Linked DNA regions of Astyanax mexicanus. The main gene of each other region encodes a partner of the protein of the gene in region 2 in a complex. Links are inferred from orthologs where the notes say so. Each region holds a gene or a part of one and is shown on either strand. Other genes may lie near its edges.

The links.
Region 1: the proteins of protein unc-79 homolog (region 2) and protein unc-80 homolog are in contact, whole or in part, in a cryo-EM structure (PDB 7W7G), measured with the Mus musculus proteins. The link is inferred for Astyanax mexicanus from reciprocal best matches to the Homo sapiens genes UNC79 and UNC80. Residues at the interface, in XP_030102533.1 of Mus musculus: Thr120, Tyr123, Ser127, Ala130, Thr131, Leu168, Ser169, Ser172, Met175, Ile176, Gln179, Tyr180, Tyr207, Tyr211, Gly212, Pro213, Ser214, Val390, Cys391, Glu394, Glu402, Phe405, Arg472, Cys541, Asp917, Phe920, Ser965, Glu966, Phe967, Ser968; in NP_780719.2 of Mus musculus: Gln23, Thr24, Trp27, Ser31, Leu34, Arg35, Pro36, Ala80, Pro83, His84, His87, Ser94, Asn95, Asn180, Ala183, Leu187, Phe190, Leu191, Arg337, Leu340, Gln341, Pro342, His343, Arg1317, Asp1320, Glu1321, Asp1324, His1545, Val1546, Asp1547.
Region 3: the proteins of protein unc-79 homolog (region 2) and nalcn are in contact, whole or in part, in a cryo-EM structure (PDB 7SX3), measured with the Homo sapiens proteins. The link is inferred for Astyanax mexicanus from reciprocal best matches to the Homo sapiens genes UNC79 and NALCN. Residues at the interface, in NP_001333147.1 of Homo sapiens: Cys861, Gln862, Ile865, Glu968, Pro969, Asp970, Phe1020, Gln1022, Pro2088, Asp2089, Ala2092, Pro2093, Leu2095, Leu2096, Met2099, Leu2139, Pro2141, Asn2142, Gly2143, Ile2144, Gln2147, Leu2148, Ser2151; in NP_001337678.1 of Homo sapiens: Gln349, Met350, Phe351, His352, Glu353, Gly358, Trp359, Gln360, Leu361, Phe712, Ser713, Ile714, Arg717.

What each region holds. Positions count from the first base shown.
Region 1 is NC_064412.1:56,682,827-56,689,760, reverse strand, and holds the start of protein unc-80 homolog, read right to left. Parts: upstream 3,008-6,934; 5' UTR 2,777-3,007; coding exon 2,685-2,776; intron 2,371-2,684; coding exon 2,322-2,370; intron 1,334-2,321; coding exon 1,177-1,333; intron 545-1,176; coding exon 240-544; intron 1-239. Other genes in the region: nomo (nodal modulator 1), read right to left, coding at 5,763-5,894, 6,760-6,852. UniProt on the Homo sapiens protein: Auxiliary subunit of the NALCN sodium channel complex, a voltage-gated ion channel responsible for the resting Na(+) permeability that controls neuronal excitability.
Region 2 is NC_064421.1:14,334,093-14,341,753, reverse strand, and holds the start of protein unc-79 homolog, read right to left. Parts: upstream 3,006-7,661; 5' UTR 2,862-3,005; coding exon 2,840-2,861; intron 1-2,839. UniProt on the Homo sapiens protein: Auxiliary subunit of the NALCN sodium channel complex, a voltage-gated ion channel responsible for the resting Na(+) permeability that controls neuronal excitability.
Region 3 is NC_064418.1:3,881,714-3,889,603, forward strand, and holds the start of nalcn (sodium leak channel non-selective protein), read left to right. Parts: upstream 1-4,883; 5' UTR 4,884-4,956; coding exon of another isoform or gene 4,957-4,983; intron 4,984-5,142; 5' UTR 5,143-5,162; coding exon 5,163-5,204; intron 5,205-6,587; coding exon 6,588-6,728; intron 6,729-7,890. UniProt on the Homo sapiens protein: Voltage-gated ion channel responsible for the resting Na(+) permeability that controls neuronal excitability. NALCN channel functions as a multi-protein complex, which consists at least of NALCN, NALF1, UNC79 and UNC80.

The DNA.
Region 1 (6,934 bases), on a different chromosome or scaffold from region 2:
AATTATTTATTTAAGTTCATATAGTGTGTTAATCTTCCTCTGATACAGCACATGACACTTCCAGGAAGTAGATCACCTGAGTACTAGCCACATGGTTTAGCCCTATAAAATATTTGGGTTCATTTGCTCTTAGTCTTTCATTAATGACTACATTATAAGTATAAGTATAATTAAAACACATTGATTGACAAGGGGTGTGCCCAAACCTTTAACTGGTACTCTAGAAAAACAGAACCAACCTTGATGCGGTTTATGAGAGGGGCGAACAGAAAGACAAAAAGCTCCACAGTGGCCATGTTCTTGTGGTAAAGCTTGGCCCGGGCGTACTCGTTCTCCTCAGGTGTGCTGCCGTTGCGTTCAACGTTTCCCTGGTTCCCCAGGGGCTGGAGGAAAGCACTGCTGCCACTGCTACCCCCTCCAGACCAGCCATGCCCGAGGTCCTGGTGGCACTCCTGAGCAGCTTCCAGCAGCATCCAGTGCAGAGTGTGGAGCAGCTTAGTTTCGGCTACACCAAGCTTGTCCTGGTGTCCTGCCAGGGAATAAGCTAAAAGGTCAAAGTTCAGTTTCAAAGCAAAGGAGACGACTGTGGAAATCAATTATCACATACACTGCTGTGAAAAAAGTATTCAGCCCTTACAGATTTATTTAGTTTTTTGTTTTTTGGGTCATATTTACACAAAAAAAGCTGATTTTATTTGCCAAAAAAGCCAAAAATGTATTAAAATCTAAATAAATAACTTGGCGGTAACAACTGCAATCAAGCTTTATCACTTTATTAACTGCTTTTTGTTTTTACGCAAGTTATATTTGAGCCCAACTGTGCTCTGAATGTCTAACAGAGAGCCATTTATATTCAACCACTGGTCGTATGAACTCAGATTTAACATTTAACGCTATTGTAAATCATTGAGATAGTTCCATGATTTATTTAAAGCTCTGTGCTGGAAGTAGGGAACCATTTCAGATTTAATCTTTTCCATTCAGATTTTCTGTTCTGAACAGATTACAAATAAAACAAAAAAATTATATGCAGCTTTTTCTAAATAACTATTAGGCAAATTATCAAACTTTTAAACTGAGATAACAACACGTACCCATACCTGTGTTTCAAATGAAAATGTTTCCAATAGTCATAAGCTATGGACTATAAAACACAGACTTTTCTGGTGAGGTTACCTAGCTTGTTGCGGTTGGAGAGGAGGATGGAGGTGCAGTGGAGGACGTGTGGGAGTGCTGCCTGAACCAGCTCCCAGCGTGAGATGCTCTGGATGGCCTCAGTAAGAGCTGGAGAGAGTCCATGGAGTTTATTCTCCACCAAAACCCGCTCAAAAGACTGGGGGCAGATTACACAGAATACGTCATATGACCCTATTTTTTTCAGTAGTGTATTCTTGAAATATTTCTTTTAATTCAGTGTTTTGTCATATCGCCAAGAGTATCGTTATTGCAAAAACACCATGAAATATCCTGTTATTTTTTAGGGCCCACCCCTAATAAACAGGTTATTCAATCAATGGATTTATTCCTCCCTGATGGCAAGGGCTTATTCCTAAATGACAATGCCAGAATTGATGGGTCTGGAATTGTGAAAGAGTTCAGGGTTCAGGGAGCATGAGATCATAATTTTCACACATGGATTGAGAGAGTTCACCACAGAGTCCAGACCTTAACCTCATTGAGAATCTTTGGGATGTGCTGGATAAGGTTTTGTGCAGCGGTCAGACTCTACCATCATCTACCATCAATTATCTTCCCTTTTATTAAGAAGACGTTGTGTACACGCTGCCGAGAGGGGGTGCTTTTCATGGCGGGGGTGCAGATTTAGACACTAGTATGTTGCCAAATTCAGCACCCCGCCAGGAAAAGCACCCCCTCTCGGCCGAGGCTGCAGGTGACGTTTCTTTTTCCTTATTTCTTACGAGTCAGCGTAGCTTAGAACAGTATCTTGGGTATTTCCATTTTCTAAGTAAAGTTAAGAAGCCAAGAAGACGTGGGTGCGTGCTCCCAAGAGGGGGTGCTTTTCCTGGCGGGGGTGCTGAATTCAGCACAACACTGAAATCAGAGCTAAAGGCGATCCAACCAAATGACTTTATATATATATATTTTTTTTTCTTTCTTTTTTAATATATTGAAATAGACTAAACTGAGTTAGTGTTAGTAAGTAGAGGCTGAGCACAATAATGGAGAGTGGGTGATGTGGCAGAGCCAGAAGCCTCAGGTGTGAGGAGAGGAGATTAGGGATGGGTGAGGGGAAAAATCCCCCTGATCACCACTGATCACCACTGATCATCACTGTTACTGCTGTTACTGCTGTTACTCACCACACAGGAGGCTTCATACTGCTTCCCCAGCTTCGGCCTCAAAAACGCACTGCAACAGCAACAGCACAGCATTTATCATTATGATATATTCATATATATTTACATTTATTCTATTTTTATATACACAATATTTACATTTTAGTTTGGTGTAAGGGAGCTAAAACCCAACATTTGAGCCAATTCAATTCAAATTACAGCCAGAAGAAGGTAATATATTTTACTAGCTTTACCAGCAACAACATACTGTGGCACACAGGCCTATTTATAAACAGCTGCTGAGCCGCACAGGCAGTTCATACATAACCACGGGTTATATTTTTACAGGTAAATATTAAACACCAGGGTTTGACAGGTTCTGCTCACCTGGTCTGTCTCCAGAGGAAGGTCTGGATGGGGAACGGTATCCCCCGGCTGTTCTCCTGCTCGCTGTCGTCCAGGCTCTTCCTCTTCACCATCTTCTCGCCGGAGATCAGAGCCCGTTATCACGGGTTTTCTCCTGTTTTTCTCAGGGTTTTCTCTCGACAGCGCTACATGTCGAGGAACCGCAAGGATCCGCTCCGGGTGGTGATTTCTGCAGGTGTATTTAGTGAACAGCTCCAGTAGAGCAGGAATATTTATTATTTTATTATAAGAGCGGCCGCAGATCTGAATGATGCCATATTCTCTCTCTCTCTCTCTCTCTCTCTCTCTCTTTTAAAGGCGCAGTAACACCAGCACTGATTCCACACATCCCCCCTTCCCCTCTACAGCCTTTGATTCTATTAACCCTTTGATGCGCATCATGGTTCAAAAGCGACCGACGTTCTGACTTTTAATTTGATGTATCTTTGCATTAAATTATTAAAAACATTCAGTATTCAAGGAATTCCTCAATTACCTTGTTTTTTTATCACCATGTATATGTGCTAAAATAAAATAGAATATCATCACACTTTTTAATTCATATATATTATTACTATTTATTTTTCTCCCTTTCTAACTTTTTAAATAAAAAACATTTTTGCATCACTACCCAATAAATGAACAAGTATAGCTTGTGGAGTGTTTCTAAACTGTATCTTTGAAATAAATGAATCATTAATCATTTTCTACTCATTTTTTTAAGTTCTCAGTGAATATCTTGTTTTTGTTTTGCACAAACCTTCATTTTTACTTGCCCTTCTTTCTTTTCTATTTCTACAAGTTCACACACAGATCAGACACGACCCACATGCAGTTACCATTTCACAGCTCACACAGGTAAATAAAAATAGTTTTTAGAATATGTCAACAAGTAGCTAGCTAATAATACTTATAATTATTTTTAAAATGCTGTGTGTGAAAAAGTGACAAACCTGCGGCAAATAAAAAAAATAATTGGGCCGCACTCCCTGCTAAAAAAAAAACTACCTGAAACTAATTATTACAGTATTAAAATAGTTTATTTTATATCACACTTTGAATGAATGGGTCATTTTTGAGGCATGAGTGTAAATGTATTGCATTTATATATATCACAAATATTTTATTCATAAAATATTAAAGTAAAAATGTAAATAATGATCAGAGGTAATTAAAAACAAATTAAATTTAAAGAATGCCTGGACTATTCAATCATAAAATACATTTATTTCAAAAGACAGACAGCAGTAGAGAGAGTGTGCATATGTTGCGCATCAGTAAATGGTAAATGGGCAACATTTAAGGTGGAATGGTACATAAGCAGCATTGAAGGTTGTATAAAAAATGACCAGCATTTAAGATGGAAAAGTAAATGAGCAGCATTTAGGGCGGAACAGTAAATGTGCAGCATTTAAGGTTGAATAGAAAATGAGAACCGTTTAAGGTGGAATGGTAAATTCAAACAATCTAACATTTTAATGTCAGTAATTTACTGAATGCAATAAATACAGCCTATGTAAGAAAGCTAGATATCAGCAGCTACTTAAAGCGGGTTTTAATCTAAATCTTTTAAAGTATTTAGTCTTTAACTCTTTAAGACAGTGGTTGATGTTAATGGTTGATCAATATTTTTGCCAATATAGCCTTAATATATATATATATATATATATATACACACGGGCAAACCAAAAGTAAGGTAAACCAAGGGAAGTGTTTACATAAAATGTGCAGAATACTGAGAATAATGTAGATTTGGGCCTCTGTGGTCCAACAATAATTAAGTTATACATAGAACACTTTATCTAAATTAACATTATGCATAAATAAAACACAGTACATACATTTTCTCACAGGATATACAATACACCAACATGCAAATAGGGTCAACACACATTTTTTTCTCCCAAATAATTTTATTTTATTTCTTTGTTTTCACTGAGAATTTCACTGAGAGTTACGTCCCGAACTTGTGATACAGGTCATGGACTCGAGACGCACCAAATTCATTAACACACTGGAGACAAATTAAATAATAAAATAAAAAAGTCACAAATATTCAGAGCTGCTTGTAGGAAGTTTCTAGCTTGATGGGACATAATTTTATTATATAAAAAAAATAACAAAACATATTTAATGGTCAAATTGCTCCAAACTCAAAACTACTCATAATGACCATGCAAAAAAAATATTATACCACCTTTTTAATGCATGTTGTCACAATCACCTATTTGGACTTTGGATGTTATTAATCATGATTTAAAATGTATTGGTTGCAAATGTTGGTTGCAATCTGGTTGGATGGTCAGTAGCACAATATTATAACACTAACCTAAAAATATTAACTATGATCCAAATGCTCAAAAATGATTGGCTTTAGTTTAGGAATTAGAAAAAAAAATGGGAAAATCGATTTCACTGTTGTTAATAAATATTTCATTAATACAAACAAGTGTCGTCATCTTCATCATCATCATAATCATTATCATCATCATCATATTTAATTAACTACTTGGGTCAGTGTCTTGTTATGATAGAAACTATCAAATTTAATCACACACACACACACACACACACACACACACACACACACACACACACACACACACACACACACACACACACACACACACACACACACACACACACACACACACACACACACACAGTCATACACACATCCTCACGCATTAGTTCAGATCCACTCTCCTCCCTGAGTAACCACATTCACAAACACGCAGTTTCAGAGCCACATTCACACACAAACACACACACCAGGGTTTCGAACAGAACTCTCCAAGAAGACGCCAAGAAATAAAAATACTTCAAACAAACAGCCACTTCTAATGCTCTTCTAAGCCTGAAACTATTTGACTGCAGCTCTTTTCTAAACCTCGATAAAGCACCAGCTGTTAAAAGTCCCGAGACTCATCAGTGAGGCTCTTAAACACAGAGACTTCACAGAGATGTAAAACTGCAGGGCTGAGAAACTCAAGTCTTGCGTTTCGGCCAGAAAAGAAAGTTGTTTGTAGTGTCTGAAGCTCTGATTTTGTCCCTGGAGGATTATGTGCGTCTCGTCTTAGGTCTCTTGGATGGTCTCTTGGCTTCATCCGTAGTTAGACCCTCACCGCTGGTCTGGGAAAGTCCTCTGACCCCCTGGATGCGGCTCAGCAGCTGCAGGAACAGCGGGATCACCTGAAGCGAATGAAACATGTGCTGTTACTATCACAGCCCATAATCACCCATAGAACACTTTTTACCTTATAGCTGATGGTGATGTATTGTAGTATTTAACTACATTATCTATGAATGAGCCATTCCACCGAATAGGTGTCATTTGCTTGTTCTAATGCTTCCAAATTAAACTTATTTTTTAAATCTCTCTAAATCTAACTCTGAATCTAACACATATTTAACGTATATTAACTATTTAAAATATGTACTGGTCAATCTCAGGCAGCTTTACTTTTTTACTTTTTTTTTTTTTACAAGGTTTCTAATCAGAAGATGTTTACAAACCTAATGTGACATTAAAAGGTGTCTTTAAAAGCAAGTGCACTAATTCCTTTGATTTTAAAGAAATGGTTGACTGCATGTTCAAATAATTTATATTTATAACAAAAAATCACTATATATGCATGCACACTGTATTTTTTCCAAATATCCAATTAAAAAAAAAAATCTTTTTAAGAAGACTCACCCTGACCCAAAACGATCAAATTTACTATCATGCAATTTATTTAACAAATGGATAAACAATGAACGAAACAGAATTGGGAAAAAAAGTGGTTTACATGAACTAATATTCACATTAATAAACAAATAAACTAGTGAACAATACTCACTCCTGTTACTGAAAGGTTTGCTGATTAGTGTATTTTATGTTACGCTTTTAAAACACACCCATAATTAATGAAGAGAATCAGTTCATGTCTTTTGCTCATTTCAAGCCATGCAAGGTGCACTTTTCCTGTGGTTACGATAGCAAAGACTCACTGATTTTGGCATGTCAGTGTAGAGAACAACACGGATGCTGAAAAAGAAAAAAAAAAAAACATACCTTTTCATGGTTATACACTGCCAGTAACAACAACAGAGTCAGAGGCAGTGCAATGTAAGATCCTTGAGCAACCTCTTGATCTGGGAGTTTTCTCTGTAAAGGAAATATATTAAATATATATATTAAAATATGGAAAAAGACAAAGCTGCCATCTTGCTTTTATTTGTTATTACAC
Region 2 (7,661 bases):
GTGCCATTTTGCATGTGATGTCACCACAAAGCCTTTTTAGTGTGCTTAACAGGCTACTGAGAAGGATTCTTCATAGGACAGTCCTACCCCAGACCTGTGTGTAGTCATGTGTTTTAGTCCCGTCCAGTCTCCGGAGGAGAAAAATTCTGAACCAACTAAACAACTCTAGCAGCTTGTCCCAAAGTAAAGTAGTACAATAATATCAAAATTATGTTAGTATTGGCCGATAATTGCTTCTTTTTTTTTAGAACCATCAGCATTGGCTGATTCTACTGATATTTCTAAGCGATATTTGTTGACATTTTTATTGTATGCTGGAAAATGACTAATGACGCTGGTTGTGCTACAATAATTGGCTTACACTGGCCCTGCAACTTTAAAACTCATGATTTAAGCTCAAATTGTGAACACATTCTCAGGAGAAACTTTTTATTTCATTGTTCGGATACAGTTGTATGAAAGCTAAAATGTAAGGCAAAAATTTTAAGTTTGCTTTTAAAGATATATTGTGGTGTTTCGTCTCTCTAAAATGTATAATTGTGTATATTAGTATCAGCATTGGCATTAGCAGAATTTACATGTGTAATTCACTAACATCCCTAGTAAATTTGACAACTACAAAACATCTGTATTTGTGTTGTAAACATTTATTGAGACACCTGGTTCCTATCACCACTGCAATAAAGAAATCTTTAAAATGCTCTACAATTTTAAAGCAAATCACAGTAAATGCATATTTTAACCCTTCTGTACCAACATAAATCAATCCATAGTGGTAAGGCCTGTACTGAAGCTGTGCTCATGCAGTACTGTAAGTATTTTATTAGATGACCTTTAGTATCTGGTCAGGTCAGCTGTAGCCCTACGGACAGCCATTGTTATTCCATGCTTTCAGTGAGTCACACTGTTAGAGGTACAGTATTAACTCTAGTCTGTCCAAACTTGACTAAAACAGGCTAACCCACCAAGGAAAGAGAAAGTGAAAAAGAGAGGTTGTAAACAATAATACAAAAGATATACAGCATAATGGGGAAAAACTGAAGACTGAGAGTTTGACTGAGAAAAAGACAATGGAGGGGACAAAAGACAGAAATATGAATTGCAGAGGAAAATATGAATATGAATATACAGAAATATGAATATGATGCAGAGGAAAAACAAAAAAAGAGAAGTAGAGTGAGTTAAAGTTTTTTTAACTAATAATTATGTAATTATGTATATTTAAGTATATACTGTATTTCTACACACTGACATGGTAAAATGCATGGTATAACACTAAAATTTATAAATTGATCATAAAATGTTACTTCAGGGACGTCTTGGGAACAGCCACACCAGTATAGGTTGTTAGATGTTATGTTGTAAGTGAGACTGAACACTGTTCACCATGCTCATGGCAAGCTTAAGCTATACCTGAAAGTGGTTGCCACTATAATTTTTTTCATCTTATTATCTTTATTCACTACACTTATTTAGTCATTTAATTATAGATAAATAAGTTAAGGTATATTTGTACATATAAGAACATATGTTTTTACATATACTTACATTAATTTGCCATACACTTAACAATGCCCAATTTTATGATAGTTGCCACTGTCATTTAAGATTACTGTTGTTGTTTTTTTTGTTTTCTTACATGATCTGTCAGTGGTGTTAATGTTATTGTTGTTATTGTGTGTGTATATGCTATGGTTCTGTATTGGTAATATGACATGTTTTTATGACACAAGAGTTATGACTAAATATATTGAGATAAATTGCGATACTGTAAGTAAGGTGATATATTGCAATCGCAAATCCGATTTTAGAAAAAAACTGTCATGTAATAAAATCACACTCATATTTATAAATTCTGAGTGAAAGAATGTATAAACAGTTAACTTAAAAAAACGTTACTGTGTTTTTGAAAAGTCTATACAGCTTTAGTAACAAAATTGCAATGCATCTTACACCCTTCTATAGTCTGGGGGATGAGAAAAGGTGAGACAATGAAGGAGATAAAGAAGACATTTATATAGATATAGTGAAAAAGCAGGAGGCAGAGATAGAGATAGGGGATGGATGGGGTGGAGGAGTGGTTCATAGATGAGGTGGTGGGTTCCTCCCAGCCTTGTACCATGTATTTAATACTATCTGAACAGTCTGCATATAACGTTATCTGCTGTGCTTGTAATAACTGAGCTACTCTGTAGTTGTGCTGGTGCTCAGCAGTGACTCACCTGTTCACAGTAACAGGAAAACCTACAGTCTAATTTAACACACACACACACACTCTCTTTCTCCCTGCTGGAAACCTACACGAGGGCTGAGGTGAGGGGCTTAGCTAATGATCAGCATCCTGATAAATGGGGAGAAGCAGCAGCTCGACCTTGAGAAAAGGGGCGTTTTGCTTCTGTTTTAGGCAGAAAAAAAATCAGAAATCCCTAATGTCAGTCAACATCACCTGAGGATGAGTGAGCATGAGCACGAGAGCAGCGTGAGAGCATGAGCACGAGAGCATGACCACATCCACAGTACCAGCTTTTCTTTCTGAATCTGTTCTCAGTCTGAATTAAACCCAGAGCTTTAGCTTCGTCTCCTGCAGCAGGAGGACGTGTTGCAGCTCCTTCGCCTTATAGCAATGTCTCTCTCCCCCCTGTTTCTCTCTCTCTCACACACATTCTCTCTTTCTCTCCTCATCACCAAGGGCAGCTACCCACATTTACATCCACAGCAGCAACAGCAGCAGCATCAGCCCCATTCTCAAAATATATATATAACACACACTGATATACACACACTGACCACCAGCCACAGAGACACAGAGATAAATGGAAAGGCAGCCGAGGATACTTACACTGCTCTGCCTTCGTAGACATGTTGAAAAACTGGACGCACAAAAAAAGCCCAAAACGGCGGTGTTTGTTCTTTAACCCTGCGCTGTCTACACACTGTTCCTCCTCTCAGTGTTGGGGGAAAAAAAGTGAACAGCCAACAGCCCCCTCCTCCTCCTCCTGCACCCTCCTCCCCCCAGCACCACCACCTCCACCTCCACCAGCTCCAGAGTTCAGGTTGTACCACTCTCTCCCTCTCTCTCTCTCTCTCTGTCCTTCGCTCTCTCACACATCAGCCCATTTCCCCTCCTCGTTTCTCCTCACATAAAGACATAAACACCCACAGCCCCTCTATATTCTGTCCTAAACCAGCCAGAAACCTTAAACCCACCCAGAACAAAAGGTAGGCTAATCTCCCTGCTCACCTTTCCAGCGAATATAATGGACTGTTCCGTGTCGAACAGTTGCCATTCGCGATATTAATTTCCTGACACCAAACAGCACAGGCTATTAGCCCAGGCTATCTATTTATCAGTCAGTCAGCCCGCCTGCAGGGCTTTCTCTGTAACATCTCTGTAAACAGGTGCCTGGCCGGCTCTGGAGGTGGTGTTGTAACCTGTATGTAAGGTGTAGCCTATTGTAGGGCTGCTGTAGGAGTTAGACGAGCAACAGTTGGTTCTAAGGACGGGATTTTGGGGCTTTTTTAATCTTCTCAGAGAATGTAGCGACATATTAGCTTCTTAATACTCCTTAAAGGACCAACGCGCGCAGGGGCAGAGCGCGTGCAGGCCACGCCCACACAAACCGCGAGGAAGCCCACACACGTACACTTTCAAACACACACACACACACACACACTCACACACACACACACACACACACACACACCTGCATACTAAAATAAAATAAAATCCAGCTCATATTTTCTCATAATTTAATGCGAATCTTTATTTAACGTGTCATTATCTTTATTTTGCGACACCAAGACATTATTTTGAGTTACTAAGTCATTATTTTGACACACTAAGTCGTTACTTTAAGATACCAATTCATTATTTGAGAAACTCCCATTATTTTGAGATACTAAGTCGTTATTCTGAGATACTACGTCGTTATTTTGAGATACTAATTTGTTATTTGGAGAACTCTCATTATTTTGGGATACTAGGTCGTTGTTTTGAGATACTAAGTCATTATTTTGAGATATTAAGGCATTATTTTGAGATGCTAAGTTGTTATTTTGAGATACAACGTTGTCATTTTGAGATACTATGTCTTTATTTTGAGATACTAAGTCGTTATTTTGAGATAAGAATTTGCTATGTTGAAATACTCATTATTATCTCATTATTTTGAGATGCTATGTCGGCAAAAGATGGTCCAATGGTTCTTTAGATAATATATATATATATATTATCTATATATGTTTTTTCTAAATGTGTAGTCAGTTTATTTGGCTTGTTTATGAGAGCTGATATTACAGTTCATTTATAACATTAAAATGGCATTATATTTATCTTTTCTAATGGATTTGTGCATTTACCAGAAATCCAATAAGAGCAGCCTGTTCTTCTTTATCTCTCCAAAAGGCTTGTAGCTTTGGAAGATTATCTCCCATCTTCAAGATATATTTTTTATATTCTAGTTTTTAAACCAATACATCACATTACACTATCAATAATAATGGTCATGCCAATTAAAAACGAGTGATAATGGAGCATTAACCAAACAATACTGTCATGTCTTGTGTTTGTAAACCTCACTACTCATCAGTAAACCATTTTTATGTATTCTGGCACCAAACCCGTTATGTACCGGTAGTACTACTAATGTAACCGATAATAATCATCTCTTTTCACAGAGGAAAACACCAGTCAGTATTCTGTACTATTAACATTATTTATTAAAGTCAACAATAACTGTTGTATACTGTATGGTATATATTTCAGGAGAAGTGTTGAAGACAAGCCATGAGGTCAGACTTCAGGAGGTGGTCTTTGCTTGTAAACTGGAATATGGTGCATGATCCAACCCGCCGGGACCAGAAGAGCAAGTGCAAAGACGGACATGGTAAACACTGTTTGCTGTGGAGACATAATAAAGATTAGAAAGAAATTAAAACACTTCATTGTTGTGTAGAGCTTTATGAAGCATGTTTTGGCATGAATGCACACCATTCAAGTCCCCAGTGTTAAATGAACACCTCTAGTTTGCATTACTGACCAGCTGGTGTAGGTGTTAATTCAACACTGGATATAATGGGGTTATATACCACCTTTCTGCAACCTCATTATCACACAAGATTCTGTGGAATATGATCATTTGACATGGAAAAAATAAATTAAAACAAGTAAAATGTGTAGAAATTGTTTTGAGAGCCATGTTGCAACAGTGAAATGTTTCAACTAAAGAAAATCTTCTGTTTAATGGGTTTATAATTCAAAAACAGTCATGTTTAATTTTTGAAAAGTCTTTGTTTATCACTCAGATGTAAACACACAATACTGTTAACACTGCTTTGTACTGTATACTATATAAATGACCTGTATTCTGAGTGTAGCTTTATTCAAAAACATTCCAGGTTTAAGCAGTTTAAACTCAGAGTAAATGGGTGGGGCTAAACTGCTGTGAATTAAATGGGTGGGGCTAAAATGATGTAAGTGGTTAAGTAGCTATACTTAAATGATATGGTTAAGATATCATGAAAAAATTGGATTTAAAAAGTTGTTTTTCAGTTTAGTGTTCATATGTCCACTGAATGGACTGAATGGCACATTTTAAAGTTACACACTACATCACATTCTTTAATATGACTTCTTATTGGCTGCCTATATTGGAACTGAAATGCTTCAGATATACTAATGGATATACACAGATGCTGATTGATGACCTGCCAACAGGAAAATGTTTTTTTTAACAGCATAATAAAGTACTTTGTAAGAATGATTATTTCAGGACCTAGCTTAAGTGTATAGGAGGCGATGATATGGGTGAGTTGCAAAAGACTTAATCATTTACAAGAAAGGAAGAGATGGGTTGGATGGGAGGTTAGATTGGAAAGAGAAGGGGATTCCAGCATGTTCCTCCTCCCAAAATCCAGCTTTGATTACTCTGACTTAGTACCACATATATTAAAAGTGAATTAAAAGCCAAAATTGTATAGATGCACAAAATGTTGTGACTTGTTTAACATTATACATATTTTAAACATCAAAATAAATGTTGCATAAAATGCTTATTTTTTCAGTACCTTATAGCGACTTACATAAATTCAGTGCATCACATTTTTAGAAAACTCACATTCATAGAAAACAGTCTGTTACTGTTATATAGTGCATGCTACAGGTACCAGTTAGAAAGATGCTTGATTAGTAAATCAGGCATACTGAAGACAAAAAAAGCTAGAGCACAGCTGTACACAACTTACTGTACTCTGCCATTCAGAAGTTTTAAACCCAAGTTTTCTCCCAATTTTTTCTGAAATGTATATTCGTCATGCATTTTGCTCGTGCATTGTTTTGTTTTTCTGAATGATCTGTAGTCATTTAATTTGGTCTGTTTTATGAGAACTGAACACATTAAAATGGCATGATATTTAACTTCTCTGACCTATTTATGCATTTACAAGAACTCCCAGAAGAGCAGCCTGTTCTTCTTTATCTCTCCAAAGTGCTTGTAGCTTTGCAAGACTTTTTCCCATCTTCAAGATACGTTGTCAGTAGAAGCATTTTTTTGGCATTAAATTCTGAAGTTTTAAACTATTCTATTTTTGTTTAGAATGTACACTGTAAAGGAATGGCACAAAAGGTTTCATTTAACACAAATCATACTTGAAATAACTAATTTATCAGGTGAAAAAAATAGTCCAATTGCTTATTACACTATGGACATTTTTTGTTCCTACTGAAACTTCTGTAACCTTTATATAATATTCAAATCCTTATTGTGTATGTTATTTATTGTATAAAGCAAAGAAAAAAAATAATATCACAATTGATATCTAAATTTATGATGAGAGGATATTTACCCCGGGTCCAATATTGTCCTTAGGTGGTTTGCAATGGATGTTTGACCTGTGATCTTGTTGGGGTAGCTTTGCTCGTGCCAGAGCTCTCACCCATCCTCTCAGGCCTAAAAGCATTTTAATCCAAATTCTTTAATCCAAACGAAGTATCCAGTGTATAAGTGTGTGCACCATTAAAGACGTCTTGAAATGGTATGTCCTGTTATGACTGTACAAAACAGTTTATCCTACCAACAGGGAGGACCCCCAAGCCGTGGTAATGACCCAAAACTATCCACTGCTTCCCCAGTCTCAAGAGAACGGCTACAATTAGATTTTCTCACATTCTCTTCTCTTACTGTGTTTTCAGTTTGAGTTTGACATGGGCTGACACATCACAGGAATCTCACGTTGTATCCCAAGTTATTCACATTTATCAAAAGAAGTGTCTGATTCTATTTGTCCCACTGGAATTTTTACCCCCTGAAAAAAGCAGGTCCAGATGTATTTACCCTTTTAATTTACGACAGTATACTGTGTTACTGTGTAATTCACATGGGGATTTAAGAGGTTAAAGAACTGAAACCTGATACCCATTCATCTGAACTACTACTGTATAACAACTACTGTACTGAACAACTACTGTATAAACTACTGTATTATTATAATAGTACATTACAGGACAGACACTGGGTTAAGCTTAGTCCTGGACTAAATGGTTTTCTGTTTATTTTAAAAATCATGTTATATTTATTCTAAGCATAGAAATCCACCTCGAAATGCCACAGCAAGTAGTGACAAACAGCTGTGTTTTGTGTCCCTCAAGAGGAAGCCAGAGGTCA
Region 3 (7,890 bases), on a different chromosome or scaffold from region 2:
AACAGAGGGAGAGCGGGCTGGCCAAAACCGGCTCCAACTCTTCTGAGGCCAATAGCGCTCTACAGGCAAGTGCCTTTGATTAGTTCTGACTCCTGCTGCAAAGCAAGGAGCGGGACAGAGAGGGAGCTGCTAAAAAAAAAAGTAAAAAAAACTCAGCCACTAGTGAAAGACATAATTCAAAACAGTTGTTAATAAAGATGATCTAATAATACACATTTTTTTTCGTAGTGTACAGTGTGTACTTTGTGATTTAGCTAGCATACGCTCATAAAGCATATTAAATAAACATTTTATGTGAATTAATATTTTAGTTCCTTCCATCAATTTTATAATTATTATTTCAATGCATATAGACCTACAATGTACAATAGCAATGTAACACATATATAGGAACATATACTAAGTATACAATGTAAATTAATTATATTATATATAGTAGTAGAAAACTCTTGCCATTTAGCATAAGCATGTACTATAATATAGCATTTGATTTATAGTGAACTGACTAGGAAACTACCAAACAACAAACAATTTTAATTTGTGCCCCTTTGAGTACGTCTGGCACACCACCCCCACATTGCATTATGGTATACATTGGAAATTCTAGTGTACATTGTCTAAACACTACATTTTGTGATGCATTATAGGTGTTTAATATAATCGTGTATTTTTAAGACTTCTAAAAGCAATAGAAATTGGCTGACGCATCATATAGTGCATTATTTCTGCAGTAGGAAGCAATTCTGAATGCAGCACAAGTGTTTCCTGTCAAAAGCATGCAGGATAAATGTTTTATTCGTTTTACAGATTTTTTTCGTTTTACCCTTAAACATGAACAGCCAATCAGCTAGCTGCTCACGCTGTGAAATGAGGAGGGTCAGCCTGATATTGGGGAAAGCACCCCTGGATGAGGAGATCTGAGTAAGCGCAGAAGCTATAACAAGATGGATTAATCACATTTGCTTTTGCATCATTGTACATCATGATGCCAAAAGTTACTAGCTGTTAATGGCATTTTTGTCGGACTATATCAGTGATTTAATATATATTGTTAAAATTGTTAAAACCCTTGGTTTAAAGTATTTGGGTATTTGCTCATTCAAACAGATGGAAGGCTGCTCTTGTATGAGTGGATATAACTAGGTAAAGGTGGAATCTGTCCACATATTAGGAATGTTAGGATGCATTTGTTGCCTTTGATTTGGATACAGAGCCATATGTGGTTTTATTACATAGTAATAAAAAGTAAAAAATGTTCCATGGGTGGAACGAAATTGTGATCTCATGATCCAGTTTACACCTGGCCTAAAACACACTACACTATTATTACTGCCCTCTCACAATAATACAGGGAACTACAATAATGCATGATTGAATTTGATTTTTTTAAGTGAATGCCGTCACTGATATAAATATCATTCAATTTAGCCAATCAAATGATATTTAAAAAAAAAGGATGATCTAGAAAAAGTCACTCACACAGTTTGCACTCAACTTAGTCTGTGTCTCCAAAAGTGCCCAAACATTTACAACAAATTACACATTCACTCACTAAATCTCAGTACTTACCACATTTAATCAACATCTAGACATTTAAATACCTTGTAAATCTCATGTTCAGCTGTTTCTATTGTTTTTAGAGCTGGAGGAGGTGGCAGGAAAAAACGTTGACTAATCGACTAATCGAAATAAATAATCATCCGATTATTTTACTACTTGTTATCAAAGTAAAAAGTAAAAAAAAATGTCCCATAGGAAAAACAAACTCCCCAATAAGTGTTGTGATTTATTTCCTTACTAAAAATATAATCTATGCCACAGAGAGTTAATTATTCTATAATGACCTATAGGTTCAAAGAGTTTAACAGGTGTTTCTTCCTAAATCCTCCATAAATATTAGATTTATACCTGAATGAACGTGTGTGTGTGTGTGTGTTATAGTTGTAGTCCTGGCTGTGTGCATTGATTGTATCTGGTGCTGGAGGGCCTGTGTGTGTCTCGTGCTGCTGCTGCTGCTGAGGACAGGGCGCGTGCCCGACGCTGCCGCTGCTGCAGTAGCCCCTCCGCCGCCGCTGCTTCTGTAACCGGAGCTCCATCATAACCGGCGTTCAGCGGGAAACATGGACCCAGCGGACCAGTGAGGCGCGCAGACCGACCCACAGGTGAGCGGCGCGGCGCTGTGAGGTGATGTTTAGCCCTGTGGACCCGTGGTTTCGCTGTGAGGGCCGTATAGAGGGATTTGACTGGGCTGTTTACCTGTAGATGTTAGCGTTAGCATTAGCTTTAGCAGGAAGTGCTACACAGGCTATAGCTAAAGGCCTTGGGTAAAATAAACGCGTATTTAGAACGAAAGAAGCGACGTTTTAACAACGTGTAGGTGCTGAAAACGAAGACAGGCAGTTTTTAAGCGTGTAAATGTGTTTTGTTTGTATGTATCTTTAATAATAAGACGATTTATCCTTTTTTTTCCTGAGCCAGTGGCAGCCCTGCTCTCATCTGTTACCATGGCAACCGGCTCAGAGTGTGTGTTTCTGTGTGTGTGTGTGTGTGTGTTGGCTCAGGGAAAGAGGGAGGGAGGAGGGGGGATGGGGTCTCCATGTACATATACACTTTTGGTATACAAACACATTTTCCTACTTTTGCTAGAATTATCTACTCTGAGTAGTTTTATAGCTTTTTTTAATATAAAATCAAGACAATCAAGACTATAGAGGACAGGCATGGCCTATAATGTGTGAAATTAATGTTAGCTAGCTATAGTCACGTGTTCCTCCAATTTAAAGTCCACTGTTAGTCAATGAAGGTGGTCCATACTGTTATACTGATGATCTAGGTGTACGTTTTCCTCCAATACAGATTATGTATATTATGCTGAGGGGCTGTTGCTGCTCTAGTCTGAAATAGGAAACCCACACGCCTCTTCTTATATACCCATTACACCTAGTAACACTTAACCTGTTTGTTATAGCTTAGCTATAACTTTAGCTATAGCTTTCCAGTATGCATTATGTGCCCATCACATTTTTACATTCATAATTCAGTTCCTGTTTCCGCAGTAGCTATAGCTCTCCAGTAGGGGTGGGGGATGTGGCCCTAAAATAATATTTCAATGTTTCATGGTATTTTCGTAATAACGATACTCTTGGCATTATATTTCAAGAACACACTACATATTTGTATCAGAAGTCAATAATCCAGAATGTCATGATACTAATAATGCACTCCAAATATCTCCATACATCCAGGAATAAAGTAATATAAATTGTAAAATAAATAACTGATACTGGACAGATAACTGATAATATAAATAAATATAAATTATATAAATTTCTCTTTTTAACTGTTCATGTAGCTTGCCATCAGCTGCCAGAGCCCTGAAAGAGCACAGAGGGCTTTGCTCTCTCTGGTGGGTTGATGGCGCTCTCTCTCCCCACATCACTCCAAAGGGTGATGTCGATCAGCACAAGGTGTCTGTGAGCTGATGTATCAGAACCAAGTCTGTGCGCTGTCCTCCGAGCATGCTGGCTGCGCAGTAATGCTACATCAGCAGCAGTATCGGAGGAGGCATGTGCTAATCTTTACCCTCCTGGTTATTATTCAGAACTACTACAGGCTACACAATTTTTGCAATAATTTGACTTTTCAGTTAAAGCCTTTCAAATAATTTGTCACAAAATGCTTTTAGTTTGCTTTAAACCACATTGTTATAACATTCTGATTACATCTTTACTGTGCAAATAACCCTGGATGATACTCTTTACATATTTAAAACAGTTTCATACTACTTTGTGATACTAGGGGGCACCCACAGCTATCATTAATATGCCCAGTGATTGCATCCTGCCTCTGGCGAGAAGGTCCTTTCTCCAGAAGTGAAACTAATTGCAGTTCTCTCCAACCTACTCCCACATTACAGCACACCCACCCTGTAATTTTGTTTTCACTCATCCATAAATCCTTACCAACATATGCTAAGTGTAGCAATTAAGGCCTATTTTGCAGATTGCTTTTGACAATATAGAGCTTTTTGAGTAAGTTGTTCTCACTTGATGGAAAAGTTCTCACTTAAGTAGCTTAAGATAAAAACAAAGGCCTGAGTGAGGGTACATCTTTATTTTTCAAGTGTGTGCTATTGGTGGTTTGTCAGGTTATTAGAGACCCCTGGCTGTTCCTGTGTTTCTGTGGTTGGCATAAGGCCTTTGTTAAATCAGATGTTTATATGGGAAGCATATTTAACATAACAATGTTATGTAAACATGTCACAAATGTGTATAAACGTCACACATGTATAGTGAAGCCTACTGAATATACAGTTTCTAAAGACATAGTTAGATAGTTGGTGTGTGTTATATTATATACAGCTTAACGGGAGCTTTGGGAGGTTTTGACATTGGCATTACAGTATTCTTGACATTTTTTAATGTTTTCAGTGTTTTGTCATATCGTCAACTATATTGTTATCGCAGAAATACCATGCAATATCGTGATATTATTTTAGGACCAAATCGCCCACCCCTAGTTGGGAGCACAGCTTAATGTGAGCTTTGAGAGGTTTTCAGCAGTGCTAGATGAATGTTTTAAATGTGAAGAGGCTTTGTTTTGTTCATATATTGTTCATATATTGTAACATGCCAAATAAACTAGTATCCCATGACTTTTGCCATAAACCATGTATGATAAAGAACACTGCATTGACTTGTGATATATGAATATGAGAGCATATGGGTCCACATGCTGCTGATAACAATTATTACCCTCCAATGCTCTGTCCACTGTAGGCCCCCTGCTTATGTTATAATTAGAAAGGTCTATATATTTTCTTTAGAACAAAAAATAAATCCTAATTTGAGTTTTTCTTTCTTGCTTCATTTTCTTTCCTACAGCCGCACAAGAAAAGTCACAGCTCTGCTGCCCATTTATCTTTCGTACTGGTTTCCACCCCTCTGTGTTCTGGGGATGAATGCACCAATGAGGAGCCTGACCGTGAGTCACATGACCCAGCAACCCCATCTGTCCAGAACACCCCATGTCGCATATATGCCTTGTCTGATTGTGGTGGACATTATCTGTTGATATAATCGTACTGTACACGTTGGTACACCATATATGCCATGTTGACTAACTGTTGTGTGTTATTTACAGGGTATGCCTGATCGCATGTTATGTGCAGTGCTGGAGCAATTTCAGCTTTACTTTTCCCGTTGGTATGTGCGCTTTGTTTCAGTTAGTGTGTGATATCCATGTATATTATTGTCCACTGTGAGAATGGCCTTTACTTCGTAGTTTTAAGCGAAACTCGGTATTGACTGCCTGTAGGTGTGTTTATATTGCTGAAGATCGAGCATGATCTTTGCAGCAGGTAAGTCAGTATATATATTGGTGTGAAGTGAACCGTGTTCTGTGTGTTTCCATGCGCTTGATTGTGCTCCACCTATGCCATGCAACAATACAATGCATACTGTCTGGTGCGGAGACGTGTTCTTATGTTGTAATGCGCAGCTCCCGTGGAGAGATATCTCAGATTTGAGACTTTGACCTTTGTTCTGTTCGTTCTGCATGTCAGTGTAGGCATACCTGTATTAGACTCTTCCTTCTCCTTTTGTAGCAAAACTGTATAAAATACTTATAGAAATAGTGCTAAACTTTGAGCTTGCTATACGCTTGCTTGTCATACAGTACCAGTCAAAAGTTTGGACATGCCTTAAATTGATTAATACTAATGTCATCCAATCTATTAAGAAAAATATGACACTAATTTAAAAAAATGTGTTAAACAAACCAGAATTTGTTTTAAATTTTAGATTCTTCAAAGTAGCACCTCTTGCTTGCTTAGATGACAGCTTCCTCAGTCAGCTTTATGAGGTAGAGTCACCTGGAATTCAGGCTTTCAGTTAACAGCTGTGCTGAACTCGTCAAGAGTTAATTACTTGAATTTCTTGCCTCTTAATGTGTTTGAGATCATCAGTTAAAGTAAAGTTGTGAAAAGGTAGAGTTGGTATACAGTGAATAACCCTATTTGAGTAATGTTCTAATCCAGATTATGAGAAGAACTACTCAACTAAATAAAGAAAAAAAAATACTTTAAGAAATGAAGGTCGGTCAATCCAAACAATTTCAAAAACTTTGAAAGTATCCTCAAGTGCTGTTGCAAAGACCATCAAAAACGTAATGATGAAACTGGCTCTCATTAGGACTGCCCCAGGAAAGAAAGAGCAAGAGTTTCCTCTGTTGCACAGGATAAGTTCATCAGAGTTACCAGTCTCAGAAACACTTTTAATTTACTACATGATTTCTTATGTGTGGATGACTTCAGCATTATTAACTTACAGTGTAGTAAAAAAAAAAGAAAATAATTTAAACATTGAATGAGAAGGTGTGTACAGGCTTTTGATTGGTACTGTTTATTACTGGATTATTATTATAGTCCATTGTAGAGCTTTTAATGCCATAGTTTAGTAGTGCATGGACAGCAGCTATTAGCATTAATTGCGACATTAGCTTTTAACACAAGCGGCTAGGAACATCGTAGCCCAGTGCTAACTGCGTTTGGAGTCAGTTTTGGTACTGTGTGTGGCTGTGTCTTTCAGATTCACTCCCTTTATAGCACGGCTAGTCCCAGCATGCTGAAGAGGAAGCAGAGCTCGCGCGTCGAGGCGCAGCCCATGACGGATTTTGGGCCTGATGAAACGCTCACCGACAGTGCTGACATCCTCTGGATCAACAAACCAGTGAGTCATTCAAATGAGATTGTGCCACATATCTGGCATTTCCATCCCTAGAAGTGGCAGCTAATAGACTGTGCCCTGATTATCCCTGATGGCTGGTGTCTCAGTGACATATCAGGACTGTGCGCTTACTTTTTTTTTTAGCTAGTAGCACTGGCTATTTTTTAAATCTAGCAGCTTATTTCCATTTCAGACTTTTATAGGATACAAACAATTTACATAATGAAATTATGTTTTTCTCTGGAGACGTTTTAACAACCTTTTGATGTTCTGCAAATCTTTCTTTGTATGTGTAAGAGCCGGCATTCCTTTTAAAAATACCTTTTCTCCACAATAAAAGGTGCTTTGCTATGTCCTTGGATTTACTTACTACACTATTAAGCTAGGAATGCTGTAGAATATTTGTCAACTGTGTTTCCTGATAACACTGCATATTTAATTTCATATTTTCTAAGATGTAATTGGCATCTTGCACTAACTAATAATATATAGATCTCTGGAAAAATAAAAGTTTCTTTGATTTTACCAAATTACTACAGGAATATAATCAAGAGGAATATGGATGGTCACAAGCTCTCAAACCAAGCTGAACTGCTTGAACTTTTGCACCAGGAGTAAAGCAGCATAAAGTTATCCAAAAGCAGTGTGTAAGACTGGTGGAGGAGAACATGCTAAAATGAACTCTCTTTGCTCATCAGGCATCTGTTGGATGCCCCACTGTATCATAGCTGGGAATCTGCACTTTCCTCTGAGCAATTTGGTTGCATAGTAAGGATGCAGTGGTAGCAATGGTTGCAAAATTGGGAAGAATATTGGGTAAACAACAAAAATGAATTGAACTAAAAATATTTTAACACATTATAGGGCTCCAAATTGTCCAGTGGTCTAAAGTGCTCCCACTATGATTGGTTGTCAATTGGCCTTGCTCTCTCTGGGTGGGTAGATGGTGCTCTTTCCCCACATAATTTCAATGAATGATGTCGATCAGCACAAAGCGTCTGTGAGCTGATGTATCGGAACCGAGTCGCTGCGCTGTCCTCCGAGCGCGCAGTGATGCTACTCGGCAATATTGCATCAGCAGCAGTTGGAGTTCTGGTGTTGGGGCATCACTAGTGGTAGTAGTAGGGGGAGTCCTAATGAGTGGGTTGGATAATTGGTCTTGTAA